Lepisosteus oculatus: one gene and its partners. The protein of the gene in region 2 binds, or shares a complex with, the protein of the main gene of each other region. Links are inferred from orthologs where the notes say so. Each region holds a gene or a part of one and is shown on either strand. Other genes may lie near its edges.

Region 1 (8,234 bases), on a different chromosome or scaffold from region 2:
AGAGCACGTCTGGCTTTTAAAGCTCAACCAAAAAGAAACAACTGGTGGAGATCTCTTCATCCGTTAGTTACAAGTCAGCAAGACTGTGGAAGACATGCCAGACAGGCTTATTTTTTAATCTTCCCTTTAACATTGTTCAACAGTATATTGTTACAATTTGAAGGAAATTCTAAAAAATCATTAGCAAGGCATTGTGTCTTTGAAGACGGAGAACTTGAGCACAAAAAAGTAAGGAATACATTCATTTGGATTTTAAAAAAACTCTGTCCTCTACGTTCAAATTGCTATTCCATACTATTCATAACGTAAATGGAGACTTGGCCTGAAAAAAGAGAAAAACACAGAAAGCTAACTGTATCACACTTCCTTTGTGAGAGTCTTCTACATCGATCCGGTATAATGTCTGTTATCTTAAATGCATTTTCAGGTTTATTTAAGAACTTTGTTTCTTGATATTTTAAAAATACTTACACCAGTCCCATCCCCCACCCAGCTCAGGATGAAACTGGAGCCATCATCGTCAAGAAATTTAGTCTGAAAAAGAGAGCAGAATGAGGTCACCAAGTTGACTTTCTGAGATTAGAAAAATGTTACTGACATTACAAGTAAAATTAGAAATGTTAGAAAATACATGGATCTTAGAAAGTATTTTACTTGATTTTTTTTATAAATGTTATATTATTTAAATTCACATGGTCATTTGTTGCAACTTGACATGGTTAGCATCACATTTACCAAAAACAAAAACAAAAAATACTCTTACGGAAATGCAACTAAACAAAACAAAAATACCCACTTCCCCTTTTGTACAATTGGCAGGCCAGTGGCAATATGCCTATTAATCTTGAGACTGTGATCTCTTCTCCTTTAAAACAAAATGTCCCCTTTATACACAACTATATAATTTCTTTACCCAAAGGGTTGTGGGAGTATGTCACAAGCTACCCAGCCTTGTTGTTGAAGCCAATACCCTAGTTTGGCTACAAACTAGCAAACAGGTCTCGTTTGCAACCTTTCTTGTGTTCCAATATATTTGGGAATTCTTATTTTTAATACTACAGTAGCTGTACTTTCTCAGTATGATTATCCATGTGAGCACACATTTTACATAAGTGCTGCAACATGGTGTTAACTGAATTCATTGCAAATTTATTCTTATATCTAACTATAAGATAATGCCACACAACCAAAATGTAAATTTATTCAGCAAGCACATTCAGAATACATTCTGTCTCTTTGTTGGCAGAACGTTCCTACAGTATAACGCATTGCTTGTAGAAAGTTCAGTGTGGTTTATGCCAATATGAGAATACTGAGGACGACTAGGCAGTAGCCTAAGTAATTGAACTGAAATTTGGCGCCACAGACATCCCGGTTGTGAGGATTCGGACTTGGATTCGGACCTATTATACAGTAGCTGTACCTAATATAATCGCACAGCAGCACCACAGCTACTGTATAAGCTTACCTTTTACATACGAACAATGAAACACGTACTGTAGAATACCCCCTCAAAAAGTAGTGTATATTATTCTTTTGATAAATAATATGCACTACAATACCGTAACTCTAATATAAATCTACCAAACGCTCTGTATAGCCCTGCAATGAACCTACAAGTAGCGCCTCAGGTAAACCTAGCGCTGTTTTGATTTTCAGCACATAGTGTGCAACTGCTTTCGTTTTTTAAGACATTTGAACTTTGTAAAAATGTATGGTTAAACATTGATATCACAGCCTGGTGTGTGTACAGTACGTTTTCAACGCACGTGACACAAAAAAGCGTCCTTATTTGCAATTGCGGCTCAGTCAATGTAAATTACATAAAGATGCTAGCAAGTACACTTCAGGTACGTGATACATTATGAAATATAAAAACAACCCTTACCTCGTGAGTGTTTTGCTTTAGTTTCTTTAAATCTGCAGCTTCGAGGGATGAGAAACAGGGGGTGAAACCTTCAGTGCTAACATCCCTTTTAAACCTGGGGTTAATTTCACGGTTCGTTCGCGTCCTGGAAAACGTCTGTGTCCGACACGAATGCGGTGCGAATCCCGAGAATTCCGCGGATACACCTGCGAAAATGCAGCAGCAGAGAGTCAGGACCAAATGTCCCGAAGTCATCTTCTCTACACTTTTGAGAAAAGAAACCATGATCCAAAAGCCTGGTCCTGTTTTGGAGACGGTGCTTAAGCGACAGGTCACGAGTGTCTCGCTTGCACACAGTAGGTGGAGGCAATTTAACTGTCAAAACAGCTATTTTAAATATTCTCACTTACATGGCTCCTTCGAATTGGATGCTTTCGTTCTCGTAAGCGACGACACAACTAGAACATGCGGGTCCATGACGTTGAGGATTAAAGTGAGTTACAATAGGCTATATGTTAATATATTGTACTGTTAATCGAAACCGTGTCTGTCATTTTTTTTGTTGGATTCTTATTTAAATATTTAAAAAAATATATTTGATAAGTTGAATGTACGATACACATCTACATTTGGGAAAACAGAAGTTGGAAATAATTCAAGTACGGTGGGGTTGCAACATTCGGTGCTAAACACAGCCTGCAATCCTGAATAAAGTACAGTACTGTTTTCAGGTGGGAAGCAACACCTTTTGCGGGTAGCTATTGAAATATTACCCACAAGATGGCAGTATAGAACACTCTATTTTTTTGTCTTTTTTTTCTAGTCTGTTTTCAGGGGAGCTACTATCCAGGGAGCTATCCAGTGGAAATTCCGGTTGCATTCAGTTGAAATGTATAATAGATTTCTAACGGTCTGAACTAGTATTTATTGATTTGAGCTGGTTTAAACTGCTCAACAGTTAGCTTCTAACCTGTAATTTACCAGTCGTGTAAAATTGACGCTATTTTAACTCAGTAGAGACTGGTTCCCCGTTGACGCTTTGAACTGAAGTGGACAAGTACTGAATAACCGGATCTCTTACTGTATGTGACTTTATGCGAGTTTTGCTCATGACAGGGTAGGTTTTAAACCTTGTTTCAATGCAGTCTTTACTGAATTGAGCTGAATTACAAGGCCCTACAAAAGCACTCACCCCCTTTCAATGATGTCTCATTTTGTTAAATTACAAATGATGTGTACACATTTTTTCAAGTATTTTAATCAAAACTCGAAGGCTGAAACTGAACACGTTTGTAGGTATAAGAAGTTAAATGTCAGCAACAGCTGCAAAATAAAATGAAAAACTAAAATATGTTGGTTGAAAAAGTATTCACCCCCTAAACTATAGCCGCCAGAATTCCCTTCACTTGCATACTCTACTTTCTCTGCCCTGTGGGTGTGGGTCCAGGGATCGTAAGACCACAGTAAAAGTACAGCAATTGTTAACCCAAATTGAAACAAAAACCCTTAAAAAAATCGCTGATACATATAAACAGGGTTTTTTTTTAGATTAGAACTTTTTATTAAGTTTTTCAATTGTTCAAAAGCTTTATCATGTTGATCTGTGGTTATTTTCCTGAAAAGCCGCTATATGCTTACAATATATTCCGAGAAACTTCAAGAAACGAGTAGCTCAATAAGCAACATCAAGAAAACCAAATGGGCAGATAGCCTATGCACATTGTTATTATTCCTCATACTCTCACGCGTCTTAAACCTTCATCTATTATTTTATAAATATCTATAAAATGTATCTATTATTTTATATAACATCTATCATTTTATAAACATTTTTTAGAAAAGGACTAGGAAATTTCCCCTATTTGGAATACGATGTTGTATAATTTTACTATTTTTTTGGAACAAGTCACATTGCATAAACTTTTGGCAATAAATTATCTGAGATAGCCGTTAAGAAATATTCTGAAATATTTAGCAAATGTATTTGTTTACATATCACAGATATCTTACTGTGTATAAAATGTTTTATGTGCAGAGTAGTTTTTAAAAGGTATTTATGTTTTTTAAATTGTATTTGTGTTTTGTAACGTGTGTGGGTGTTAACTACGGAAAAATATTTGCTTTCACTGAATTTATTGGCAAGTTTTTACAATTTGTCATGAAGAGAAGGCTTAATTTACATATCAGAATATTCAGCTGTTACTGCGTTGAAAGATGCAGATAATTTTGTTGAACAATTTATGTGTATGAATTAATAGTGTGAGAGTCAAATCGTTTGTTCATAATTAATGGAATACAATTACGTATCAACACAATTCGGATGCACTTTTTCAAATCAGAAAAACAACGCTTAATCGGGTGTACAGTATGTCGGTTGTGGGCTACCGTAATGCTTTTTTTAATCTTCAAGATTCCTTTTTATTGATGCGTCGTATTTACTGTATATACGGATGTATATCTTATTAATTTCGTTTTAAGGGAAATATTAAAACAACTGACGGGGTATTATATGTTGGAAGCATGTCGTTGTACAAACTGTTCAACTGTTCAAACTGCGTTTTGTGTTGGATTACTTTCAGAACCATACCTTTTGGAAGGTATTATAAACTACGATTACAATATTTGTGATGAACTTGTCACAACTCTGCTTTCCACCTCCACTCAAAGTGGGAGAGTAATTACCAAGACGGCCGATAGGGTTTCTTAGCAGGTCGTGGGGATAGCAACTCGCACATTTCCAGTTCCTGTTCGCGTATAGATATCCCATTATAGAATAGCTTTAACCACGTTATAGTACTTGTATAGATTCCACATCACGCCCATCTACCCATTTCCTTTTGCCTTCGGATTAACTACTCCACTCTATGATAATGAAGACGACATTTTGCTACGTTCATAAATCTTACACCCCCCCCCCTATTTTCAACGTTAACAACCACAGTTGATACATAGACTAACAGCAATCCAGATGATTTTCTCTGCAATTATTACAACGTTGAGTACGTTTTTCTTAAAGGTTTAACAGACACCACCTCCCTACGTCGGACCGACTTAGTTTGTAAGACGCATGACGCCTTGCGCGCTCTTCCGTTGAAAGCCCCGCCCCTGAATCCCCTCACTTCCGCTCCCACCGTGCAGCGCTCCGAATCATGGACCAGAATGGTAAGGAGGGAATTCCTTTCTGTATGCAATTTAGCCGTATTCTGTCCTCTCTTAAATCAAATTGGATGCACAGACATTCACTGGGTTTACGCAGGACCAGGGTACGTTTCTGAGCCAGTTGCCTGACTGTGAAGTTGGAGAAGCCTCAATGCGGAGCCTTGCGGCCTTCTGCAGTTTTCTCGCAGCATCCATTGAATAAGAGAGGAAGGGGCTGTTTTGCTGAAGAAGTGTGCGCTACGGTGTGATTTGTTTTCTCCCCCCTTCATGATCTGTTAAAAAATAGAGATTTTCACACGGTGTTCGTGAACCTGAAACAGTGGTTCATTTACACTGGATGAAAGGGGTTACAAGTTTTGCAGAACAGGTAGCGGAGTTCTGCCCCGGTTGTCACCTGTTGTCTTCGGTAGTTTTTTTTCCCGTTTTCCCCACAGACTTAAAACGAGTACGTTTCAGAAAAGATTATACAAATGTTTGATTTCGGACTTTGCTGAAAAGGATATAAAGATCCGTAAGTCAGTCTTAGGTTTGTGTTGTTTTCCACATCGTCAAGAAGTTCATCGTCCATAGTCCCGTTTGTTTTGCAAGGATTTGGGAATCGGAGTGTCGATGAAAGACTGCACTCATGTGAAAATTTCACCTGTTCTTTTTGCCGTTAATTTGGCTTTAAGAAATAGTTCATAACAATCTTCGGGTGAACTTAGAATTCTCTGGTATTTGATGACCGGATTTCCCGTTTTAGTAATAATTTTCCCTTGTTTTGAAGATCATAATCTTTTCTGAAAGACGAAACTTTTTATCAGGTGATGTATGACATAAGCTTAATTTCACAGTATAAGACGTGAAGTACAGTTACATATGATTACAGTCTTTTAAATAATTCATTAGTATTTGTATAGTGTGCTTGTTCTAGGAACTATTTTTGACATTTTAAAGTACATTCAGCTGATACTGGTGGCACATTGTAGCATCTTCAGCGCTTGAGCCCTGGGCGCTACCCGTGTCGAGTTTGTATTATCTTGTTTTGGTGTTTCCTCGAAAGACGTGTTGGTGGGTTGATTGGCTTTTGTGAATTGTCCTTGGTGGGTATGTGCGTGCGTGCTCGTGTCTGTATGGATCTCCGTCCTGTCCAGCGTGTATCCTGCCTTGCAACCAATGCATCCCAAGATAGTCTTTCGGCCACGATGATCCTGTATTGGATAAGCGATTATTGAAAGTGATGTGGTGTAGCCGATGTGGAATTGAAAGAGATTCCTCAGATTAGGGTACCAAGTTTTCAGCATCATTCAAACGTGGAGTTGAGCTGTGTATGCCTACTCATTACGTTTTGTGAGCATAGCTGAGAACACCCTTTTTATTTTGAAGGACATTGTTAAATTCTCTTACCACGTACACTCTTTTAATAACTTTGTGTCACTTCGTCTTTCCCTTTCAGTAACAGTAAAGCCCGTGGCAGGCCAGAGCCTTGTGGATGGGAAGCCAGCCCATCACAGGGCTACAAATACACGCAATCATCGGATGCTTAAGGGCCGGAATTTATATATGCCACAGATTTATTGACAGCACAGAGTTCCCAGAGAAGGCTCGTGTGCCCACAGGGAGAAAGTGCAGTCTCCACACACAGGGTGCCCCCTCCTGAATTCAGACCCATGATGCTGGATCGCAGTGACTTCCATTGCAGAAATAAAAAGAAACCATATTGCCTTTGCTATCATTGCCTCTATGGACGAGTATAGAAGTCAAAACGGTAAACTTGCTGGATTCTTTTTGCTTTCAGACAATGACTTACAGGGCACGGATGGGCCAGGTAGCCTGGGGGGGCCTGACGTGCGCAGGCGGATTCCCATAAAGCTTCTCTCCAAACAAACCATCAGAAACAAGCCAGCAGTTAGGGCCCAAAGGGCCATGAACAGAATACCTTCCAAAACGCAGGCTGGCGATGATGGTAAGACTGCTCTTTTGTTTTTGTGAATTCGAAGGCTCGGTCTTGCATTCTGCTCCCTTTTTGTGGATGCTGTCAAGTATTATGTTAGGTTTTCTGTTTCGTCATAAATGTGTCGTGTATTAAAAATCATTTTATTGTGATGTTCCAATAAAACCACTCGCACAGTATTTTGTAGACGGACATTGTTTACATGGAAGAGATGCCAGTTCTGTTGTTGTTAGTGTTTCACACTGTCAGTAATGTCTGCAACGTCTGAAGTTTAGCTAGCCTCATCTGAGTTATTTTTTCAGTTTATGTGGTTAGCTAGAATGCATGAATATTCAGTAAACAGCAACATCTGTAAGTTGAAGTTTAGACATCATAATTATTGGTTAAATTGACCACAGACCAGTAACAAAGTTATTTTTAAAGTTTAACCCACATAATTAGAAAGTTTCATTTCTCCCCAATAAAAAAGGTGAAGCATAAAGAAATAATACTAATATGAAGTTTGTCAGTTTCAGATTTCAGTCTCTCATATATGGTGTTTTTAAAATGTCATACTTTTAAAATATAGTGCACATGTACCTCTTTTTATGAAAATTCGCTACTGTGAAGCATGAGAAATTAGTACGTTCATTTCGAATAATGAAAGCTGATTTTAAAACTACAAAAAGCCATAGGAAGAAAAATTTAAAAAACCCTGCAAAAAGTAGAGAGGAAGGCGTCATGCGACTCATTTCATATCAAGTATATGCATTGCCTTCCGCTAGCTAGAATGGGTGAGAGCCTGTACAGAGCCTACAGAGTGGCATGAGAGACGTGATACAGTTCACGGCATCTTGCTTCATGCGTTGTTCTCTATCGTGAGTGCTCTTACGTTTCGTGTAGGAAAATCTGTGATTTATGCTTTATCATGGACCATTAAGATGTTGAGAACATATATTACATTAAGATGTTGAGAACATTTATTACACAAAAGCAAATTAAGTGGGTACTGTACAGTACTGTACTTAGATATGATTAATGATGTCTAACTAGGGAACCAGTGTTTTTATTATTAAAAACACAGTATGATTGTTGGTTATTATTGTTTCTTTTGTCATTTTTTGGTGAAAAAGTAAAAGTAGGTGTGACATTTTTGGGGTCCAGAATAAATCATAATTTTTCCTGGTTAGAAATAATGAAAATAGGTTTTTCTTTTTATAAGTTTTCCTCTATACAAAAGGGGTTTGGGGATCGAATTACGTTCATAAAAATAGGTACAGCTTTGTTTGTGGTGTG
Region 2 (8,376 bases):
GACCCTTTAAGTGTTACCTTTCCAATTATAATGCTTTTTGTAGTAACTGAACAATAAATAAAACATAAGTTAATGTTTAATCTATTTAGTCCTGCCTTTGCTCCTCCTACTACTAATGTTTAAACAACTAATCAAGCCCTCAGGATTTTTTTCATGCCATGTAAGCAAATGTTGACGTGAAATCACAATGACTCAAACATTACATTAATAAAGAGAGCATAATCTTAACATCCACCCATTTTATATTTATCCAATATAGGATGACGGGGTAGCTGGAGCTTATCCTAGCAAACCATGGGCACAAAGCAGGATAATCCCCAGACGGGACACAGGTCTATCGCGGGGCACACACAGACACAGGCACAGGCACACCAGGGCCAATATTCCCAGAAGCCAATTAACTTACCAGCGTGTCTTTAGACTGTGGGGAAAACTGGAGTATTCAGTGAAAACCCATTCAAACACCAAGAGAACATACAAACTCCACACAGATAACTCAGGAATTGAGCCCAGGGCCCCAGTTTCTGCGAGGTTGTAATGCTAACTATTGTGCCACTGTGTCACCCCCCACATTAGCAAATATATATCTATCTTTATAGCCAGCATCTATATCACCCTGCAACTCACAGCTAGCAATCTACTAAAGCTCAGCAGGTGTGAGCCTGGTCAGTACCTGGATAAGAGACCTGCTGGGAAAACAAAGGTGGCTGCTGGAAGAGGTGGTAGTGGGACCAACAGGGGGCGCTCATCTGTGTGGGACCTAATGCCCCAGTATAGTGACAGGAACACTATATTGTAAAAAGGCGCCATCCTATGAATAAAATGTAAAACCCAGGACTCTCTGTGGAATTTCCCACAAATTCCAGGGTACTTCTCAAAAAGAGTAGGGATGTTACCCCAGTGTCCTGGTCAAATTTCCCATTGGCCTTTAGCAATCATGGCCTCCTAATAATCCCCATCTATGAATTGGCTTCATCACTCTGTTCTCCTCCCTAATGATAGCTGATCATTGTGATCATTGTGAGTGTGGTGAGCATACTGGTGCACGATGGCTGCTGTCGCATCATCCAGGTAGGGCTACATATCGGTCGTGGTCCAGAAAAGCACTATATGAGGGTAAGAAATTATTATTAAATTATTTTTAAAACAAAAGAGATGGAGAGGCAGGTAACAGGGGTTGTTTCCAATAATAGCCTAACAATTAAGATGCCCTAATCAGAATTCACCCAAACCATCAGCTTTTATGACATTCATTATCTTCTTTTAAATCATGTTTGACTTAAGCCACATGAATAGAGTGGTGAACATGTGGAAGATATAATCAGTGAATATTTACAGCAGCGAGACAAGAACGACATTGGCAGCTGTGTGCTGATCTGAGCCTTAACTGAGGCTGCTGCCTGTAAGATAATGGAGCTGGGCTTGAGGAACAGCTCATTAGTGTTTGGAGGAAGATCCACAGCTACAGTGACTGTTTCATCAATGAAGCACATCGGTTCTTAGGTACAGACTGTAATAGCACTGGAGCTGTTGCTGATCCAACTTGGCAAAGGCTGAGAGTTTCCATTTTTCAAGGCTTTTATTTTTTGTTGCAAGAAGATAACCACTTCACTTTTCAGGTTTTTTTTCCACAGATAGTTTGCCCTGTGTTACAGAATCTTGTAAGCGGTAATCTTTTTCAACAACAAATTTATAACGGCAGTCTCAGTGGACTCAGTGGAATCTTATGAAGTTATCTGTGGACAATGTTATTGTTTTCAAGGTTTGAAAAATGTGCCCTAGTTGGATTGATCTTGTGTCAATACAATAGGAAACAATGGGTGTGAAGAATTAATGGCCCATCGTTTCGGCAGCCACAACTACAGAGGGAGATAACAGGAAAGAAAATCCATCAATCCAGCAGCCATATCACCCTGCAACTCACAACTGGCAACCCACTGAAGCTAAGCAGGTGTGAGCCTGGTCAGTACCTGGATGGGAGACCTCCTGGGAAAAACTAAGGTTGCTGCTGGAAGAGGTGTTAGTGGGGCCAGCAGGGGGCGCTCACCCTGTGGTCCATGTGGGTCCTAATGCCCCAGTATAGTGACAGGGACACTATACTGTAAACAGGCGCCGTCCTTTGGATGAGATGTAAAACTGAGGTCCTGACTCTCTGTGGTCATTAAAAATCCCAGGGTGCTTCTCGAAAAGAGTAGGGTCTCCTGGACAAATTTCCCATTGGCCCTTACCAATCATGGCCTCCTAATAATCCCCCTCTATGAATTGGCTACATTACCCTGCTCTCCTCCCCACTGATAGCTGATGTGTGGTGAGTGTTCTGGCGCACTATGGTTGCCGTTGCATCATCCAGGTGGGGCTGCACATTGGTGGTGGTGGAGGGGAGTCCCCATTACCTGTAAAGCACCTTGAGTGGAGTGTCCAGAAAAGTGCTATATAAGTGTAAGCAATTATTATCTGCGTGGAGTCTGTATGCTCTCCCCATGTCTGCATGTGTTTTTTCCAGGTGCTCTGGTTTCCTCCCACTGTCCAAAGACATACTATTAGGAAAATTGGCTTCTGGGAAAACTGACTCTGGCATACGTTTGTGCATGTCTGTGTTTTTTGTTTGTGTGTGCCATGTGATGGACTGGTGTCCCGTCCAGGGCGTGCCCTGTCTTGTGCCCTGTCTTGCCAGGAGAGGCTCCAGCTCCCCCACGACCCTGAACTGGATGAAGTGGTTAGAAAATGGGTGGATGGACGGATGAGATGAGATTACGCTGTGAAGCTCTGAGTTAAAATCCTGTTTAAAACAGATGTGCTGATTACTGCCTAGCAATAATTGTGCTTCGGCTAAACCTCATAGGCTACAATACTGCCGTTAACCTCACCAGTAAAGAAACACTGAGCTTCTTGTATTGGCATAAAGTCACACTGAGAGGCATTAAAAACACATCAAGTATTATGAACAAATCCATTTGTTGCATTTTATATGCCTCTGGATATATAAAGTTTCATACAAAATATTTGTACCTTTTGTTTTAACTTGCTAAAAATCTTGCTACCACTTGGTAGAGTACATGAATGAGAAATACATTTAGATGATAATATTTTTAGTATAGTTTAACAAATATATTGATTAAACATAATAGGGTATTGAATAACATTATTGGAAATGGTGTGTGTACAAATGTTAGCCAGCAATTGTATCACTTAATTTTCCATCACACACTCTGGCTATTAAAAATGCATAAGATCCGTTCAAAAGCCATTTTAGCAATTAAAATTGTCATCCAAGTAGGATGATTTTGAACAAGTAAAAGCACATAAATGCAGTTCACGGTTCCCCCTGCTGGTGGTTTGTAGACTTGTTCCCTAAGTAAGACGCAGTCAGCTGTATGATTTGTACATTTTAACTTAAAACATAAGCACATTTATGTCAATACTTTAGAGTAATTATACTGCTTACAAATAATAATAACATTGGAAGTGTTTAAGTAACCCACTGATTTCACCTCTGATCCTTAAACGCTATGTCTTTCATTCCAAATGAACAGAGCCCATAACGACTTAACTGAGTTCACAGATCTGTATTACTACTGCTATCAGGTTTTCAACAATGGAGGCTTGCTCACCCATTTAAACCTGGCTTGTAGTACCCATTATCTGCTGGGCTGTTACTCTCATAGACCACGCATTACTGCCAGTGCACAAGTCCTTCAAAACCTTTGCAAAGACACTGACCTGGGAATATTGCTATTGCTGAGCTGCAAACTTTTGAGAACAGAAGAATATTTCAAACAATTAACAGGAACAGTAAGCATGAAGAATGTTATGAAATTTAACATTCAGATCAAATGAAAGCTGCTTAAAAACTATAGGCCTACCATTCATAATGCCATGCAATACACCATGAATATCAGCAAGGGTTATTCTCAGACGAGGGACAGAAGCCCCTGGGAGATTACAAATAATAAACATTACATTTATTATTTTGATCCTTTCGAAAATCAGGTTGCACTCGTGAAAACACAAGAAAAGTAGGTTGCATAAACTTACTGGCGCAGGAACATATTACTTACATTTAAATGTGTTTCTAATACATTTTTGTGGTTTATACAGTTTACCTTCTAACAACAGGAAATGGTGTGCCCGATTTAAAAATCCCTTTAAACACCACATAGCCCTAAATTACTCCAGATAACGACTGATTTTTTTTTCTTTAAGAGATGTCTTATATTAGTTACATATATTTCAGGAAGACACATAATACACAAATACACATTTTCATGCTACAACTTAATCGATGTAACGATACACATAGAAGACAGAAAGTATATAAAGTATTCGGGTTGATAGACAAAATATTAAAATGCAGGAACGCCCAGCATTTCTCGAACTCTTTCAGTTTATGTTAAAAAAAAAACACTTTGTACTTTGGGTGATAAACTGTTTAGCACGCTTGGTTAAAACTACCACAAATACAGTACACGACACGTAACTGAAAATAAGAAAAAAAACGTACTTTGTTAGACGTTACCATAGCCACGACTCACTAGGGTATGATGTACCAGGTGTTCCGAAAGTGAGAAACTGGAACAGTGTCCTCGCCATTATGGATTCTATTCTACATAGAGTGACACATAATGCAGCTACCACTACTGGAACCGTAATGGCTGCCATTTCCAAAAAATAAAAGAACCTTTGTAAAGCAAATATATGACGGTAGCAGAAAAATAAAAGCTTATCTTCAACGAAGACATTGCTGTTTTCTTATGAAAAAATAAAATGTCTTAACTTTATGTAAAAATACATTATGTTATTTAAGAATTAACATCAGCTTGGACGGGGCAAAGACCCAAGTCATGTGGGCGGGTGCTTTTAACACATTTTGTGCCAATAAAATAAGCTTAATTTTGAGAAAACGATTCCTGTTTAAAACAACGTTGTTTTTAGACAGGGTATAATAGTGCCAAAAATTAAACCGCTTTACAGTTTCTCAATATAAATGCAGCGTGCTACGACTGAAGCCGAGTCCCATAAAGCAACACAAAGACCCGTATTGAGTGGCATTACTTTTAGCCAATAACATTCTCCCAACCGACACAGTTCCACCAGTAATAACGCGAAGGCGGGGTCTATCATGTGTTGTTCCAAAATGGCGTATGCGGGCTTTTTGCTGAAGGGACAGTGAGGGGTGGAAAATAACTTGAATATTTGGCAATAATATAATAAGAAAAGTAACTGAGAGTGGCTGCCCGTGATAACGTGTTTAGTGATTTGCTTTTTTCGAGTGAGTAAAAGCCGGCCTGAGGGAACAATAGTTAAAAGATGAAGGGCAAGGAGAGATCACCGGTGAAGAAGCGCTCTCGGGCCTTGGACGACATCCGAGACAGAGGAGGAAGCCACCCCACCAGCAAGAAAATGGGGACCCTCTCAGCGGCCGGAGGCAGCAACAATGGCAACAGTTCCGTCAAAAGCGAAGGGGGCTCTGCTAGGAGGAGTCTGCTGGCCGAGAAAAGAGAAAGTCGGGACTTCGACGGACACGTTTCCAGCCGGGCCGGGGGCAATCACAGCTATGCCAACGCCGCCGCTAGCTCCAGCAGCAAAAACCACAACAACCTGACTCTCGACCCGGCCGCCACCAGGACCAATTCCCGCGGGGAGCAGCGGCCTCCGCTCACCAGTACCGAAAGTGAGTACAAGACTCTAAAAATAAGCGAACTGGGTTCGCAGCTGAGCGACGAGGAAATAGAGGACGGGCTGTTTCACGAGTTTAAAAAATTCGGGGACGTGAGCGTTAAAATCAGTCGGATTAACGACGAAAGGGTGGCGTTTGTCAACTTCAGGCGGCCCGAGGATGCCAGGGCAGCCAAGCACGCCCGGGGAAGGCTGGTCCTCTACGACCGCCCTTTGAAGATCGAAGCTGTGTACATTAACCGGAGAAGAAGTCGCTCTCCCATTGAAAAGGAGGCTTATGCAGCAGTGGCAGGGCACAGACATTTGCATGCCCAGAGACCTCTGTCCCCCACTGGGCTTTGCTACAGAGACTACAGGCTGCAGCAGCTAGCCCTGGGTCGCCTACCCCCTCCCCCGCCCCCACCTTTACCCAGAGATCTGGAAAGGGAAAGAGAGTATGCCTTCTATGAAGCACGGGCACGCCCAGCTTACAACATCGCAGAACGTGCCGCCGCTTTCCGTGAGGAAGAGCTGATTTCGCCAGAAGATGACCAAAGAGCCAACAGGACTTTGTTCTTGGGGAACCTGGATATTGGCGTCACAGAGAGCGATCTGCGCAGGGCGTTTGACAGGTTCGGGGTGATCACCGAGGTGGACATTAAACGGCCCTCCCGTGGCCAGACCAGCACGTACGGTTTTCTCAAGTTTGAGAACCTGGACATGGCTCACCGGGCAAAACTGAGTATGTCGGGTAAAGTGATCTGCCGAAACCCCATTAAAATTGGCTACGGTAAGGCCACTCCCACCACGCGCTTGTGGGTGGGCGGACTCGGACCCTGGGTTCCTTTGGCTGCCCTGGCCAGGGAGTTTGATCGTTTTGGTACCATTCGGACTATTGACTACAGAAAGGGGGACTCGTGGGCCTACATCCAGTACGAGAGCTTGGACGCAGCACAGGCAGCTTGCACCCACATGCGCGGTTTCCCGCTGGGGGGACCGGAACGGAGGCTGAGGGTGGATTTTGCCGACACGGAGCACCGCTACCAGCAGCAGTACCTACAGCCCTTGCCCCTGCCTCACTACGACATTGTGGCGGAGTCGTTTGTGCACCGCGCTGCCCCGGAGTCGCTGCGGGTTAGGGAGAGGACTCCTCCGCCCTTGCACTTCAGAGAAAGAGAACTCTACCCGGCCACCGATTGGGCTGCTCCTCCAGTCCGGGACAGAGTGAGGGCGGCTTTCGATCCCCTGGACCATCTGGACCGGGAGCGCAGGCCGAGGGAGGCCTGGTCCCTGGAGCGAGAGAGAGAGCTGCAGAACCGTGACCAAACGCGCAAGCGGCGGCTGCTGGAGGACAGCCGCCACCTGGACCGCTCTCCTGACAGCAGCGAGCGCGCCCGAAGGCGTCACTGTCCCTCCCTTGAGCGCAGCCCAGGGGGGAGCAGTGGCAGAGACGGGGGGCGATACAGCGATTCGGAGCGGCCCCTGCGCTCCGAGAGGCCCTCCCCAGCACGGGACAGGCATGCCAGCCTGGAGAGGGCTGCTGGGGAGAAGCGGGGAGGAGAGAGGTTAAAAACTGTCAGTGCGGGGGAAGCGGCTGCAGGCGGAGTCGGGGGTGGGGCAGGATCTGGTGTGGAAAAAGAGCGCAAACGCAAGATCAGCGAGACCAGCAAGAGCCCAGCCAAGAAGGAGGAGCGCTTCGAGATGAGCTCTTCCAAGGGCAGCCAGGGGCTGAAGCAGGAGGCAGGCCAGAAGCTGTGCCTGGCCTGGCAGGGTATGTTGTTGCTGAAAAACAGCAACTTCCCCTCTAACATGCATCTCTTGGAAGGTGACCTCAACGTGGCAACCAGCCTGTTGATCGACGGCTCTACAGGTGGCAAAGTGGCCCAGCTGAAAATCACCCAGCGTCTGCGTCTGGACCAACCGAAGCTTGATGAGGTTACCCGACGTATCAAGGTGGCAGGCCCCAGCGGCTACTCTGTCCTCCTGGCGGTACCAGGGAACTCCGAGGGCGGGTCGTCTTCATCTGAGCCAGCATCGTCCACCCAGAGGCCGCTGAGGAACCTGGTCTCTTACTTAAAGCAAAAACAGGCCGCAGGAGTTATCAGTCTCCCCGTAGGTGGCAGCAGAGACAAGGACAACGCTGGAGTCCTTCATGCTTTCCCTCCCTGTGATTTCTCTCAACAGTTCTTGGATTCCTCTGCTAAAGCTCTTGCCAAAACAGAAGAGGACTACCTGGTGATGATCATTGTTCGTGGGGCATCATAAAAAAGAGAAAAAAAAATCTTGTAATCTATCCACAGCACTGCATGCGCTCTGTTCTGCATTATGGGATACAGCAATCTCTAAATCTGGGGGCTGCGGGCCCTCAGATGTTTTGCCAAAAAGAAAAACACCTTCCTTTTAGAAAAAAAAATATTGATCCACAGGTTTTGGGGGTCCAAATAGCTAAAAACAAAAAGCTCTGAAAACTTCAAATTCATTGTCATGCATGGAAAATTGTTGTTGTCTGTCTGTTTATGCTGTACCCAATCAGATGTTAGTCTTTCGGGTTCACTGGATTAAGGAAGGTAATGGCAATGTGACACAGTGCTCAGAAAAAATTAACAGCAAATCCTTACAAAATTAAAATCCTCTGCAAGTCACCTTGATTTTGTTTTAGGACATTGCTTTGTTTCATGTTTTATCATTATAACTTTCTAGAAGATAAAACATTTGGACCTT
Region 3 (7,536 bases), on a different chromosome or scaffold from region 2:
TGTGATATTTGCTTTGCCTTCCTTTGTTTGGTAGAGTATACAGACGTGTTCTGTTCTAACAAGCAACCCAAACTTTACAGAATGTGGGTATTTTAATAACTCCTTTGTATGAATCGACCTCAAAAGAGCAGGCTATTTGTCTAAAACGTGGTTATTTAGACTACATTTTTATATACTGTACAATATATCTTACCACGTTAGAATAAAATATAATGTCTTTTAAATTCACTGGACAGACCTGAATGAAATATCTTGCTTGATGATACAAAAAACTGAGGCTCAGTCAGAATTTTACACTCCAGTCTATAATTCAGAGCCCTAACCTCTACCAAACGCTAATACAGAGCACATAATTTTAGGAAGTACTTTAAAAATACATTTTTTTAAGCCAGAGGCTTCAAGTACTTTAGTTTATGCCAATAGATTCTAAAACATACACAATGCTAAGCAATTTCTATTTGTTTTTTTTTAATTAACCTATTTAATGTATATATCTGCAAAATTAATTTCAAAAGCCTAGGAAAGCATATTATTATATAATATTAAAGAATCATACAGTTGTAATTTATTGCAGTACTTCTACTAATAGTAATCATTTCATTTTCTAACAGTTTACTCCTGTTGAAGATCATGGTGTTGACAGGTGGAGCAGGGCAGACCAGACTTCCCTTTCCCCAGCAACAGTCTCCAACTCCTCCCAGAGGATTCCCATGTGCTCCCAGGCCAGCCGACAGATATAAACCCACCAGTGTGACTTAGGTCTGCCCTAGGGTATCTTCCCAGTGGGCCGTGCCTGGTACACCTCCAGCAGGAGGTGCCCAGGGGAATCCTCACCACATGCCAGCAGCCATATCACTCTGCAACTCACTGGCAACCCACTGAAGCTAAGCAGGTGTGAACCTGGCCAGTGCCTGGATGGGAGACCTCCTGGGATAAACTAAGGTTCCACCCCATCACCCAGAGAGAGCAAGTGACTTGTTGATTGGGATGCTGTTTCTCCCAGTCATGCCGCTCCAGGTTTTTCCATCATTCCCCAGATGAATGTTGAAATCTCCCAGCAGGACAATGGAGTCAGAAAGTGGTGCCCACGGTACATAAGCACGGCAGTCAGAGTTTTCCTCTCTGCAATATGCAGTACAGTATTTGTTCTCATCCATCATGACAAATTCCAACTGCACGGCACCCAGCCAGGGACTTGTGAGTATCTCCACACCCACTCAGACTGTCACGGGAGCTGAATCTAACTCCCGAGGAGTGTGTTGTAAAAGACCCTATGCGTGACGGTATATTCCGGAAGTGTCTGGAGGCGTCAGGGAAGGCACAGCGAGGTAAGGTCAGGATGACAGACAGGGGGCCGTGACTGAGGTGATCTGGCGCATGGGGGGAGCGCAGGCAAACAAGTCCAAAGGAAGTCTAAAGGGGTAGTAAGGCGCAGTCCAAAATCCAGAAACCAGGAGATCCATCGGAGACCCAGATGATTAAAAACAGGAACAGGGAATTGGGACCAGGAACACAAAAGGTTAAAAGCATAATGGGGCATGGGACTCAGAGGAAAGGACGGCATGATGAAGCCTTTGCCCTCGGGCCACTCCTGAGCCCAGTGGTAGGTGGGCTTCCAGGTGTCAGTCTTTCAAAGCTGAGCCTGGAACTACAGAAACACTGGGCTTAAAGAAGGGAGAGGCAATGAAACACAGCTAACACTAATAAAACTAAGAACATTACAAGAATGGTAGGAGCGCCCTCTAGAGGAGGGATGATGACCGTGACACAGACCAGACATGCGAGGGACAAAGACCACCCCTGATTGAGAATTGTGGTTCCAGAACCAATACTGTATATAGAGGTAAGACCGACTATATCTAGTCTGTACTTTTCAACCTCCCATACCAGCTATGGCTCCTTCCCCAGTGAAGTGATGTTCCACAACCCAAGAGCCAGTTTCCAGTGCCAAGGTCTAGTCCATCATCCAGATCTTTCCCACTCCATCTCATTACCCGACCCCCATCCTTCACTTTGGGAGTGGCAATCCCACATGGCAGCTCCATGTAACCATTTTGAGTTGAGCCTGGCTGAGTTGTGTGGGTGATCCAGACACCAGGTGTTTGCCGGCAACATCACCTGGCCTGGCTCCAAGGGTGAGTCCTGGCGTCCATGGTCTGTGCAGGGTTTTCTCAGTTCGTAATGGAAAAACATCCCAGTCTAGCGTGCAAGGTTCTTTGTCTGGCCTCTCATCTAAGACCAAGTTGCCAAGGGTAGCCCTACCAGAAGCACAATCCACCTGACAACATACAGTACAGTAGTTCAGTAGCAGGGAGTAAACTCCCTGTGGCATTCAAACTCCTCCACCACAGCAAGGTCATGATTGCAGGAGATGAAGAAAGGTATGACATATATAGTAAGTGGAGAAAAATTGCTCTTTACACACCTCACTGTTTCAGTTTCAGTGTAAGAAATTCCAATCCTGTTCTAAAACATTTTATACTGTTTTATCCTGTAGGAAGTACATTAGGACATACTTCTATGTATGTTAGGACATGTTTCTAGTGTCATTTAAAGAACACACTTTAAGAAGAGCATAGATTTCTTTGTTGTTATGAAAACGTTCAAACAAAATATACAGATGCAGATCACTTGTCATACCTGTACTGAAATAAAATTTATTATAGTTGATAAGAACGGTTAAAATAAAAATGTTATGATTTTTATGTGGTTGATTAAGTCAGAAAAAAATAAGCATTACAATTGAATAAAGTTCTAAAAATTGTATTTCTATGTAGCGATTACACCTTCACCCAAAATCATGTGATTTACTCCTAAGAAGGCACATAAACTATTAAATAAAGGTGGTTTATTGTTAATAAACATTTTCAAGACTATTGTTATTTATGCAATCAAGACCTTGAATACTTTATTCCTATAACATGTTAATAATAACATGACCTTCTGCTTGTCATTAGTAATCATTATAACATTATAGGCATTCATAAGGCAGATTTACACTATTACTACAATCATTTTTAAAATAAAGTGCCCTGACAGTATTGTTTTTGCTGTAACACATTTTGAAAATGCACAATATTATCAATGTTTACGTCAGTCTTATTTGTCAGTCTTGTTAAAATGAGTAATAATTGTAACAATACTCATAATCACAAACCACAAATTATAAACCACGTTTGTTACATGACAAAAGCTTCCATTTCATGATTTAAGCTTTCTATACCGCCTATTCAGCTCTTAAGCAAATGTACTGTATGCCATCTTTGCTGAAGTATTCAGCAGACATCCATAATACTGTTTAAAGTTCAAACAGTGACCAAATTATTTTAGATTATGTGCATCGTGTGCTATGAATTCTACTTCTTGTTGCTGCCGACAGCTGTGTTGCCATTAACAGTTGCCCCGGGTTCATTTAAGCTTAACGTTGTTAAGCTAAAGGTTGGTTTTGTATTTATTACCTTTTTGTTTTGTACTTTTTTACTTTGCTGTGTTTAACAAAGATAAATTGTGTTAACCACACAATTATCAGAATATGTGATTTTCCTTTGTATATCAACTTTGTTAAATTTCTAATCCTCCTAGACTTTGGATTTTTGCGAACCACCCTCCTCTGCAGGGCTGAATAAAGAACTGTTTCTCCAGAACCCCGAATCGTCAGTGAAGTTCTTCCATGTTCATAAATCATACTTTTGTAATTTCTTCTTCCGTTTTGCATCTGTTGTATATTGCTGCATACAGCTGAAGACGTACGGCAATCTACTGTCTACATGCCAGTTTGCGCTGCAATGAGATTTAAACTCTTGTACACGCAACAGAACAATATACACTGATAAAAGGGGGATAAAAAAAGTAATATTGAAATGAAAGAACCACTATTATTTTTTCGACGACGTACCCTTACATGGATAATTTGTAAGTGCATTATGTTTTGACCAAAACCTATGAATGTTATACAAATACCTACAATCTCCTATATTGTTAAAATCTATTAGTTTTTTAAAAAGTTTTTAGTTCTTTTTTTTAAATAACTGGCCAATATTTGCATCTCTATCCTTTTTGAGTGGTAAGTGAAATGACCGAATAGCCAAGAAACATCATTTTAAATCACCGTTTTCTGTTACCCGGAAATGACGCAAAATATCCGCGACTCGTGCTGCTTCTGAAAGAAACGCAGGAGGGAAGAATTGGAATTGGAACTAAATGAGGATTCAGGCATTCTTTGAGAACTTTTGCTTCGGTATCGATAAAAAATGAACAGCCGTTTACAAGAAATAAGGGAAAGACAGAAGCTTAGAAGACAGCTTTTAGCACAGCAGGTAAGGAAGAACATTTGCTGTTTGTTCACGTTACGAAAACAAAAGATAGCATAGCTCCCACTCAAATTGTGTTCCAGAATTATGTGATTTGGATTATTTTTGTAGGGGATTAGTTAACAATTTTTATTTGTCAGTAGTTTAAGATCGTAATAAGGTGTTAACCGTAGAGAAGTTAGATTCACAAGAGAGCGAGTTGAGATAAATTACATCAAATTCAATATTGCTAAAAAACACAAATTCGCGGGTGTATACAGATCTCTAAAGCATTACGGCATTGCCCTTGGGAGTTGGATAAATATTTACCGTTCCAGTTCTGTTTTAATGATGAATTATATAATGAATAAATAGATAATGAATAAAATCGATACAAGCTTGTGGGGGCATAATTGCACCTAATTCCAATGTAAATTGACGTTAATAAATGCTGAAATTTTTTGAGTGGAGATTACATGTTATCATATTTTTGCTTGCTTTATTTATCTTGTTTATAAAATTAAACATTTTAAATGGTTTAACTAATGAACAGTAAAAACGTACTGTAGTTTTACGTCATTTAACTTAAATGATTTGTTGATCACGTGAGAAGTGCTGTTCTTTTTTGCAACAAAAAACTTTTAAAAAATCACGTGGTGGCTTAAAAGTATCGGGTGCTCCGAGTTTGATATTGGAGTCGAGTTAAAATTGCAAACAAAAATTGATTACGAATCTGCGCCAACCGCCGTTCAAAAATACAAATATAATTAATGTCAGAATATGAAATATCTGACCATGGCCTGCTTGAGAAATGAAGACAGCATGTTTGCTATTGGTGTGATTGGAGGTGACCTATCAGTAAAAGAAGTTGCCTGGAGAATGAGATGTTCTATTTCAACAATCGGCTCACTAGTCCAGAGAAAAGGGGAACCAAAATGCAGGCCTGGGGGGTGGATTTTCACTATGTCGGCCAGGACAGTCACATCAATCTGATCTATCTCCATAATTGTTAATAAACTGTATTGAGAAGCAGCAACGGACATTCCAGGAAGATATCACAGTAGAATAACTAGCTCACAAATTGCATGAAAATGATCCCCATACTCCATTCAAGTCACTGAGAGTAACAGCGATGGCTGAGACACAGAATTGCTGTCTTCTGTGGGCCGGAGCACATTTGTGGAGGCAACCGAGAGAGTGATGGACAGTTTTAATCGTGGATGAAACCATTTTTCCCCTTCAGAGACCTGCCAGAAGACATGCGAGAGGATGTCATTGCTAACATTGCATTTTTCAATCTGGGGGGTAGTAGAAGTGAAATTTCCTTCAATGAAAAAATGTCTTGGATGCAGATTAATGCAGACCAATATATTAACAAGGTCCTTGATACGACAGGTTTTCTGTAAATAAGAGCCAATCCAGGTGTCAAGTTTACCATCAGTACAATGAAAGACTATCCAGGGCTAGGATTACTGTGGCAAGACTTCAAGAAAACAATGTCCAAGATCTTGCCAAGGACAGCTTCTTCTCCTGACCTTTGTGTAATTGAACATGTGTGGGGGCAAATTGCTAATGCCATGGACAGGAGACAAACACAAACCCTCCAGCATTTCCTAGCTGGCGGTTGGTGCATAGAAAAGGGAAGAACACCATACATCACTGTATCCCAAAACTGGTCAAGTATTGTCAGGATTGTGGTAATGTTAATGGAGCTCATGCCCAATACAATTTAATTCATAACGTTCTTATTTTAAAAGTACATTACATATAGTGAAATCATGATTTTGTTCATGTCGTCTGATTTAACGTAATATTTGTCTAAAAAAAGATTAAATATAAAAAAAGTTGCCATTGTCACTCACATTCACCACCAGCTATGCAACAATGCACAAGATGTAAGATTTTTTCTAATGGAAAATCACTGAGTTGAAAACACTTTACTTGTGTGAGGGGAGTTTTTTCCTTTGCATCTCAACAACTTGTGGCAACTTGTAACGGGGGGCCTATATTTGTTATCCTAGAGCACTTTTTTTTTCATAATTGGAATTTTGGAAGATTGAAAGATTCCATGATATCAATTTGCTGAATCCAAAAGAACACAGTCGAACAAATTCTGCTAAGGTAATATACTGTATTTATACCGTTCTTCACAGCTAGGAGCTGAGAGTGCAGATAGCATTGGTGCAGTGTTGAACAGTAAGGAGGAACAGAAAGAAATTGAAGAAACCAGAGAGACATGCAGGTAAGAAAGAAACACTTTCATGGTTGTGTACAAAAATTGCTACAAATATTTGCCAGGCTAGAAATATGTTTGACAAAAACATATTTGGTTACATTTGGATAAATAGTTTAATAAGCACCCAAAGGTACTTTGTTAGGTTTATTATTGTACCGTTATTTGGGAACATAACATCTAACATGATTGTCCAAAAACTATACTATTTTGTTTATTGAACATGTTCTTAATATTGGCAGGAGCATATGATGATCCAATTCGGTATCGTCCTACATAATTATTATTCTATCTTTTTGTTCTTAAATATTAGAATAAGCCTCACAAGTTTGGATTTTTGTATTTCCTAATGTTTTAATCAATAGTATATTTATTGATAGCCGAGCATTTCTTTAGTCTGACATTTAACCCGTTTAATTGAAAAACATTCTTTCTTCCTCCATGATGTCAGATTATCGAATTTAACATCTACTGATTCACACGGATGCTGAGTTTTATTCAAGTTGTTTTATTTAACTTTGTTGTTGTAAACTGAACTCTGACTCTCATATATATATACTCTATATATGTCTTTATTTCTGTATGCAGTGACCTGTTCCTTTTCCTGATTCTTTGATATTCTGAATGTTAAGACAGTCTTTCTGCCAAGACTAGCGTAATCATTGTTTCAATGCCTTCCTTTACTGTCCCTGAGTCTAGTTTACAAAGATCTAGGACTCTAGAATATTTTCTCTGATGAATTTTTCTCCTGCCAAGGGCTTCTTATGACACTTCTTCACCTTCTACTAAACGCAAGTGTCAGAATGAGGGAGAAGACCCTGAGGAGGCTGTTGAAGAGCAAAAGGTAACATTGACAGTCTTTTTCTTTTGGTTATGTATTTTAAAGATAGACAAGAGACAGAAAGTGACTAATCTGGAAAACACCTTCATGGTTTACTGGGGTTGTTTTGTTAAAATCTGAATTTTGTTAAAATCGCTTTAGCTAGAATGTGTTTGCCATGTTTTGCTTTTTGG
Region 4 (7,698 bases), on a different chromosome or scaffold from region 2:
AAGGTACGTTTCTGGCTAAACAAAAATGTGTACATCCTCAAAACTGGGAGGAATGCGATATAGAGACCCACAACTAAAAGATACCGTTCTTCATTCACTTTTGCATGTTTTGTAATATTTTTGGTGTTTTTATATCACTTCTTCTTGGGAAGATTGACAGTGCAGCTCATTTCTGGAGACGTGAAAGTTGCATTCCTGTTCTCGTTTTTTAATGGTTTAAATGCATTTCCATATTTCCACTTTAAGTTTCCAGTTGTGTCTTCTGGTTCGTATTTCATGGTTCATTCTGAAGAAGCCTAGTGTGTCACTTCGTCATTGAGGATTTTTGAATACCTCTATCAGGTCTCCTTGGAGTCTTCCCTGTTCTGCCTTGAGGCTCCTGGCTTCCGTGCCCTAAAGTTGGATAAACGGTTATTGAAAGTGATGATGATGAAACGCGGTGACCAAAATTTTACACGATATTCAAAATGAATCCCTGGTACGAGTGGTTTGCACATTGTTATGTACACTTTGCTGATGTTATTAGTATCTATATGCTAATAACATTAACTGTAAATTTACTTAAACCCTTAACTTGCTTTTACCAAGTATACATATTTTAAAAATATAACTTAAACAGCCTTAAATTTTGAACGTACATTTGAAATGAACATTTATCAGGTTCAGGTATTGCAATGTATTTTTTACATGTTACACAGCAAAGACATCAAGACAGAAAATATCAAAATTCTTTGTAACTATATTTGCACCATGTCAGCACTAGATGGCACTGTCAAACTTTTTTGTGTATGTGGAGATAAACTGCAGAGGGTCTGAAATTCTTAAAATTTGTAGGAACAACCTTATTATTATTATTATTATTATTATTATTATTATTATTTGACACAATATACCATTTTAGGAGTTTACAGTCAAGTAATCTAATTTAATAAATGCAGAGGAACAACAGGTTTATTCCATGCTGAAAAGAGAAGAAAGAAAATACAAAGTTTCGGCTGTGGAGCCTCACACCCAAAGAATGTTTCTCTTTTCAGCATGGAAAAAACCTATAACTTGTTCCTTTGCAGCCTACGGATGCTGACGCAGCTACCCACCTGTACTAATTTAATAAATGTTTCTACTGTATATGTCAGATTGAAATCTAGTGAATAGCCAAACAAAGAAATTAAACCTTCATATCCAACAGAACAGGTAATGTATAATGTATATATTGTAAAAATGACCATTGTGGAACCTTCTGACATTCTGCTAGTGGCGAAGATCCTGGTGTCTCTTTGCCTTGGGCTGTAAGTATGAACTATTTACTTCACTTACAGATGTGCAGCAAATGAGCAAATGTAATCAAATTTAAGTTCAGTCTGGCTCCCAGAGCCGGAATCCAGAGGTTTACTGTGATGATCCTCCTCTTGGCCGCAGCTGGAGGCTTCCGTGATCAATACTGCTGGCCCCCTTGTGAGTCCCTAGACTCAATCATGAGACTTGTGATGCCCCCATGCCCTGGTTTTACCCACCCACGGGTGATTGACAAAACAGGGGAAAATTGGGACAGTATTGCAAAACCCATACTTGTCAATATCACTGTGTGAGGCAGGGACTTCAACAGAACCAGCTGAACCACATCTATACTAGGATTGTTTACAGGAAAGCAATGTTAATTTTAAAGAATGTCTCACATTCAAAAGCTATAGAAAATATTTTTAAGGAGTCATTCATGTTGTGTGCCGTTACTCTTTTAAATTCTGATTCCTTCCACAACATTGCATTGACAGCACATGTACTGTACGGTCACACTTAAATCTTATGTTTCACACTTGAGTTTTATGGTTTTGTATTATGTTGTATTGTATGGTTTTGTTATTTATATTGCATTGATTGTATGAATCATGTGACATATGTTACATACAGTTAAAGTGGTTCAGGTTGGTAGCTGCGTCAGCATGCGTGCAAAGGAAGAAGTAATAGGTTTATTCCATGGTGAAAATGGAAGAGAGAAAACACCTCTTCTTTCTCTTGTCTCTCTCACCTCTTCTCTCCACCTGTTTTCTCTCTTCTTAGCATGGAATAAACCTATTACTTGTTCCTTTACATACAGTTACAGTTTTGTTTACTTGGTTTTAATTGTTGTCTCAGTGAATCCAAAAGAAAATTTCCAATGTATGTGGACAATAAAGGACATTCTGATTCTGCTATCTGGAAGACAGCACTGGGAAAATCAGGATGGTTTGTAGCCTTAAATATAAGACTTGAATGTTTGTTGTTGAGTTAGGGCAGAGAATACAGTACTGTACTTGACTTTACTGAGTAAACTGACTTTAAGGTCACACAGAACAGTGTCTCTCTAAGGGCTGATGCCTTTCTCTCCCTGTTCTTTGAGCTTCCACCCATTGGTCAAAGGTCCGTCTTGCGTACACGCTCGTTAATTACAGCACAGTTCAGAGGTGGCATGTAACTGGGCCCCAGACCGAGAGGGAGCAGGGCTCCAGAAGAGGGTAAGCATAGACAATGTATTGTTACAATACATTACAATACAACAATAGACAATGTATCTGCATACAGCCAGTTCTTCAATGAGGCCCTGCGCAGTTAGCTCTGTCCACACGCAACACATAAATGGGACATTTACAGTACATGCCCCATCCCAGCCCTCCCAAGAACGAGTCCTGAGTCCTGGCTAGGCAGTCAGGAGAACTCAGGCAGTGTTTGAGAGGGAAGACTTGAGGGGAACACAGTTTGCATTGTTTGACCCAGGAGAGGACTCATACACTAGAGACTCTACAGAGAGCAGCAGAGGAAGACCCCGGCATCATCGTCCTCCCCCCTAACAACTGGACTTAGCTAGACTCAGCATGAGGGACCACATTGTTTGGGTTGGCCGGGACTGAAGAGGATGCCTAAGACAACACATAATGTCTTTGCTGTGGCAGAAGGAGGCACACCAGGTCACTGACCCAAAACAGCATTACTAGACTTTTGCTTTGGGACTTTGGGTTTTGGAAACTGGGGTCCATGGGGCTCATATGGTTTGCTGGCATGTGGGTAATTTTTGTCATGGACTCTGTGTGATCGGTAGACTACAATAAAATGGCATATTATGAAGAATGACTGTCTTGTCTGGTCTGTGGGTGCACTGGAGGTACTGGGAGATAAGAAGAACCTCTGGTGGGGAAAAAGGGGCCTAGCACTCTTGTAATTGCTCGGTGGAGTAGTTGGCTATAAAAGCTAAAATTATTCTGTATTTTGGGATCACCACCTGTGACAGCTAACCCCTAATAAAATCACAGTAGGACTGTAAATGAGTCATACACGTAATCACCACATTCCATCATGAACACCTGCAAATAGACATACCTGTCAAGTGATAGAAGCTGTCTGCATGGAATACAGAAATATACATGAATTTGGAGTTGACGGAACAGGGTGTCAAAAGATTAAACTACACATTTAATTCCAAATGAAAACATAAATAGCAATTTATAGATATAACAACAACACTAATGATACACTGTGAAGCATTAAACAGTGCACGAGTATTGAAACAACAGTATTTGTTGCACTTTTTAAAGCCTCTGTGTACAAACTTTATACAGTGCCTTTAAGCACAATTATCCATCTATATATCCATCTTATAACCGCTTTATCGACTACAGGGCTCGGGGGGCAGGAACCTGTTCCTAGCAAGCCGCAGGAGCATGATGGGATATCCCCGAGCAGGATGCCACACAGCGCAAACACACTGTCACAAACTCAGACATGCACACACCCACGCCAGGGCCAGCTTTCCCACAAGCCAATAAACCTGGCAGCATTTTCGACTGTGGGAGGAAGCCACAGAACCCACACAAAGAGGGGGATATCATGTAAACTCCATGGAGATTGCACCCCAGCAATGCTAGCCACTGCGCCACCGTGCCGACAGAATATATCTATGCATTATGTGTTTTTCCTCTAAGTCTTCATAGTCGTACTATTATTATCATAAATGTTGAAATCCATATTCATCACTGGGGATTTCAGACAGCGAGCTATGTACTGAACTTTGTTGATGTGTGCGATATTACAGGATGTGGATTCTCTGAATAATAACATATTTCTATGACAACTGGAAGAGACTTGCGCCTCCCTCCGTCTGGAGCGCTGATCCTCCGGCCCACTGCGCTCTGCGCGCGTCCACCTTATGATGCTTTGCGGCGGAAGCTCCTCCTCCTCTCACTCATGGCGGCGGCGAGAGATTTGGGCAAATAGCATCGGTGTTTGGAGAAACGAGACAAAAAAAAGATTTCCCGATTTGTTTTTATTTTTAATTTCGCTTTTGTTAACGTTTTATAGCGTTTGTCCAAGAGGATTTCTAGCCAGCAGAAAGACGGGTCTGGTAAGTCTTCCCTCAGGGGTGTAACGGTGGTTATCAAGGGGAGGATTGTGAGTCTCGGCTGCGGGAGAGTCCGACACTCTTCCTTCAGCGCCATTTTGTGGCAGCGAGAAGCTGCAAACACAAGAAACCGGCAGGTAGCGAAAACACAACATAATGATTCCCGGATATTTATGCTAGTTTTGGCGAGCACGGTTACACGTACGTAAAGTGTCTTTTTACATGTTTGTACCTAAGTGTTTTTATACTTTGTATTTAAAAGTAACGAAAACAGCGTGATGTGTATACCAAAACCATGATGGTTCTGCTTTAGCAAGACAGGGGAGGGCGGATACCTCCACAGGATATTTTTTTATCTTGAATGAGAAAAGAAATGATAAAAATTAGAAAAACAGTGGAACCGAGCGCCTTGTCACCTTATATATACATACTCACAGGACTTGAGCTGTTAGGTTGGCTCTTTACTGAGCATTTACTTGGCAGTACTTGAAATAAATTAGGTGTCCCAAGAAGATGTTGATAGCTTTTTAACTGGTGTTTTTTTAATTGTTTTGATGGGGAAGGTGTTTACACAAGCTGAAAAATACTTTGAATTGGTTGTAGCTTTACTGGAAAATTCTGGAAACTTTCTAGTCCGAATATTTTGGATTTCGTTTTGCTAGCACTATCAGCCGAAGCGCAACTTCAGACGCCGTACACCTCTGTCTTACCATCTGAAATCAATGGTTGTAGCTGAGCCTATGTGATGGAGTCAATGATTGAGGCTATCGTTAAAGTTAGTTTGCTGCGGAAAGATGTAATTTGTAAGAGATAATGTCGATCTAATATATGTGGATTGTAAAATTGTTGACAAGTTTTTGTCCCTCCCCCCCCCCCCCCCCCCCACACTATTTTAAGAAGTCGCATAATGTTGACCTGTCTTTTGTGGCCGCCTGTTTCTTTTTGGTTAACTCACCATAACAGTGTGAAATCCACGTCAAAGTCTACTCTTCATTTATCTGTGATTAATTGAGTGTCGATCTTCTTGCACACCCCAAAAAAAAAGTTTCCTACATTTTGTTGAGACTTTCCATTGTTTTGTTTTCTCTTTCCCCTACAGAGTTCAGAATGACTAATGAAGAACCTCTGCCAAAGAAGGTCAGTATAGGAAATGTTATACAGGTCATTCAACATAGTGATCTTAAATGTTGAGATTTCAACTAAACATCTTCTTGCTTGATTAGGTTCGCCTTAGTGAATCTGACTTGAAGACCCTGACCAGAGAGGAACTTTGTGTAAGGTAAATATCTGTATTGCAGGGAGGGAACTGGGGCGTTGCGTCTTAATTTGGCCTTGTGCAATTCATGTTATTTTTTCTGTTCAGGTGGAAGCAGCATGAAGCATATGTCCAACTTCTGGAAGCAAAATATGCAGAACTGAACTGTAAGTTCATGTTTTCATGTTAATAAAAATTGTATTTGGAAAATGAATAGATAAATTGTGAAGGCTACTTAATTTCACCACGTATACATAGCATCTGCTGCTTAATTGGTTCTTACAAGACCTGTTGTTAAGCAGTCTATTCAGAAACCTTTATATACTGTCTCTCAAGATTTTAATACCTGCATTTGTGCAGTGCTTTTCAACCAGTTTAAGTGCAGCCTCCTCCTGGATTGATGTGAGAAAACAATTGTTGGGTGCCTAACTTCCCAGCAAATGCAAGTCCGAAGTGGATTTTTGCCAGAATGTGGGTTAGCCCCCCTATTCTTTCGAACAGTATATTGAACCTTTGAATATGTGATCAGGATGTTAGTTTAATGTTTAAGACCACCTCCTATAGTACAGTGTCCTTATTCACAATAGAAGGGTATTGGTTTGGAAATTGTGTTCCAGAGGGAAGTGACACATTTATCCTCAAATTGACACAAATGTCACTTAATGGCAGCAACATGGTTTTCTTTAGAGTTTTTCCCATCTTGGCCCCGAACAAGGGTCAAGTATGCTTAGCTTCAGAAATCTGGGGTGATCAATTTACAGGATGGTAAAGCTGCTCTTGAATGCTCTGTTGCGTTTTTTGAAATGTTAAGTTTTTTTTCCTCTTTATTTGCCCAATTCTGGTTTAGCGAATGATGTGACTGGATTGAAGGAGTCTGAAGAGAAGCTGAAACAGCAGCAACAAGAATCTGCAAGAAGAGAAAACATTCTTGTCATGAGGCTTGCCACAAAAGAACAGGAAATGCAAGAGTGTACAGTAAGTAGCAAATACTGTTTTTAAGTTGTATTTGTTGAAGGGAAGTGTGCATCACAGTATTGGCCTGAAAGAAAATGCATATATAGATAATATAAGGTTTAATGTTTTTTATTGGAATTAGATACTTTCTACAATTATTTCATATTTGGCATGGAGTTTTTTTTTGCCAAAACATTTTAAATTTGTACCCATTGATTTGGCTAGGTATTAGATTGATATGAGTTAAGTACCTTGTTCAAGGGTACATCAGCAATGGGATTTGAATCCACAGCCTTTCACTCCTAACACTCCTCCACACTGCTGTACTGCTTCAGTTAACTTATTTTACAATTTTTTTAATCTAAACTTTAAGGGAGGGTATTTTACTGAAATTGAAGACTGTTGGCTCTAACTGCTCCAGTTTCAGTTGCACCCTTTAAACATTTGCATTGTGTGTTAATTAAGTATAGATACTTTATTGATCCTGTGAGGGAAACTGCAGTGCAACAGCAGCTTAACACAGGCAACACAGCCACAGTGTAACGAATGATACAATAATAATAATAATACAATACATACAATACAATCAGTACAGTGAGGTGTGCACTAAAAGAGTTACAGTCCAGGACACAAAGAACAAACTAGAACAGAACAGTACGCAGAAAAATTATATTCCACATATGATTATATAGATATAAATATAAATGTATTGCACGGGTCCCTGGCATATATTGCACAAAAAACAGTTGTAAATGGGAAAAGAAAAAGAACAGATGTAGCAGTAGATGTGTTCAGTCCAGAAACACACATCTACACATCCCAAGCGAATAGTGTTTTTATTTGTAACTTTATATATGTAAATGCCTCACACTATGCGGTTACAATTAATATACAGTGATCATGCTGGAAAAAATACATTTGTATTCATAAGGGGTTTACAAGAAGCTCAAAGCACTTAACATGCCTGGCGGTTGTAGATGGCAGACCCTTTGCTTTGCTATTGACATTTTTATTCTTAAACTTGTCGTTAAAGGCCAATGATGGTTGACTGAATTGCTTTCTAATGTTGTTCTGTATATGATTGTTCAACCTGAATATAAGAAAAGTCTTGTGTGTTTATAAC

Evidence for each region.
Region 1: rbm15 (region 2) and cbll1 share a complex: the UniProt entries of both Homo sapiens proteins name them as parts of the WMM complex. The link is inferred for Lepisosteus oculatus from reciprocal best matches to the Homo sapiens genes RBM15 and CBLL1.
Region 3: rbm15 (region 2) and mettl14 share a complex: the UniProt entries of both Homo sapiens proteins name them as parts of the WMM complex. The link is inferred for Lepisosteus oculatus from reciprocal best matches to the Homo sapiens genes RBM15 and METTL14.
Region 4: rbm15 (region 2) and wtap share a complex: the UniProt entries of both Homo sapiens proteins name them as parts of the WMM complex. The link is inferred for Lepisosteus oculatus from reciprocal best matches to the Homo sapiens genes RBM15 and WTAP.

What each region holds. Positions count from the first base shown.
Region 1 is NC_090702.1:39,979,027-39,987,260, reverse strand, and holds the start of cbll1 (E3 ubiquitin-protein ligase Hakai), read left to right. Parts: upstream 1-4,898; 5' UTR 4,899-5,016; coding exon 5,017-5,029; intron 5,030-5,044; exon of another isoform or gene 5,045-5,130; intron 5,131-6,803; coding exon 6,804-6,971; intron 6,972-8,234. Other genes in the region: sortilin, read right to left, coding at 472-534, 1,889-2,152. UniProt on the Homo sapiens protein: E3 ubiquitin-protein ligase that mediates ubiquitination of several tyrosine-phosphorylated Src substrates, including CDH1, CTTN and DOK1. Targets CDH1 for endocytosis and degradation.
Region 2 is NC_090700.1:37,399,910-37,408,285, forward strand, and holds rbm15 (RNA-binding protein 15), read left to right. Parts: upstream 1-5,129; 5' UTR 5,130-5,307; coding exon 5,308-7,920; 3' UTR 7,921-8,189; downstream 8,190-8,376. UniProt on the Homo sapiens protein: RNA-binding protein that acts as a key regulator of N6-methyladenosine (m6A) methylation of RNAs, thereby regulating different processes, such as hematopoietic cell homeostasis, alternative splicing of mRNAs and X chromosome inactivation mediated by Xist RNA.
Region 3 is NC_090696.1:11,929,681-11,937,216, reverse strand, and holds the start of mettl14 (N6-adenosine-methyltransferase non-catalytic subunit), read left to right. Parts: upstream 1-4,126; 5' UTR 4,127-4,250; coding exon 4,251-4,316; intron 4,317-6,442; coding exon 6,443-6,531; intron 6,532-7,278; coding exon 7,279-7,366; intron 7,367-7,536. UniProt on the Homo sapiens protein: The METTL3-METTL14 heterodimer forms a N6-methyltransferase complex that methylates adenosine residues at the N(6) position of some mRNAs and regulates the circadian clock, differentiation of embryonic stem cells and cortical neurogenesis.
Region 4 is NC_090697.1:50,788,143-50,795,840, reverse strand, and holds the start of wtap (pre-mRNA-splicing regulator WTAP), read left to right. Parts: upstream 1-4,461; 5' UTR 4,462-4,539; coding exon 4,540-4,567; exon of another isoform or gene 4,568-4,590; intron 4,591-5,465; coding exon 5,466-5,503; intron 5,504-5,589; coding exon 5,590-5,645; intron 5,646-5,729; coding exon 5,730-5,788; intron 5,789-6,468; coding exon 6,469-6,596; intron 6,597-7,698. UniProt on the Homo sapiens protein: Associated component of the WMM complex, a complex that mediates N6-methyladenosine (m6A) methylation of RNAs, a modification that plays a role in the efficiency of mRNA splicing and RNA processing.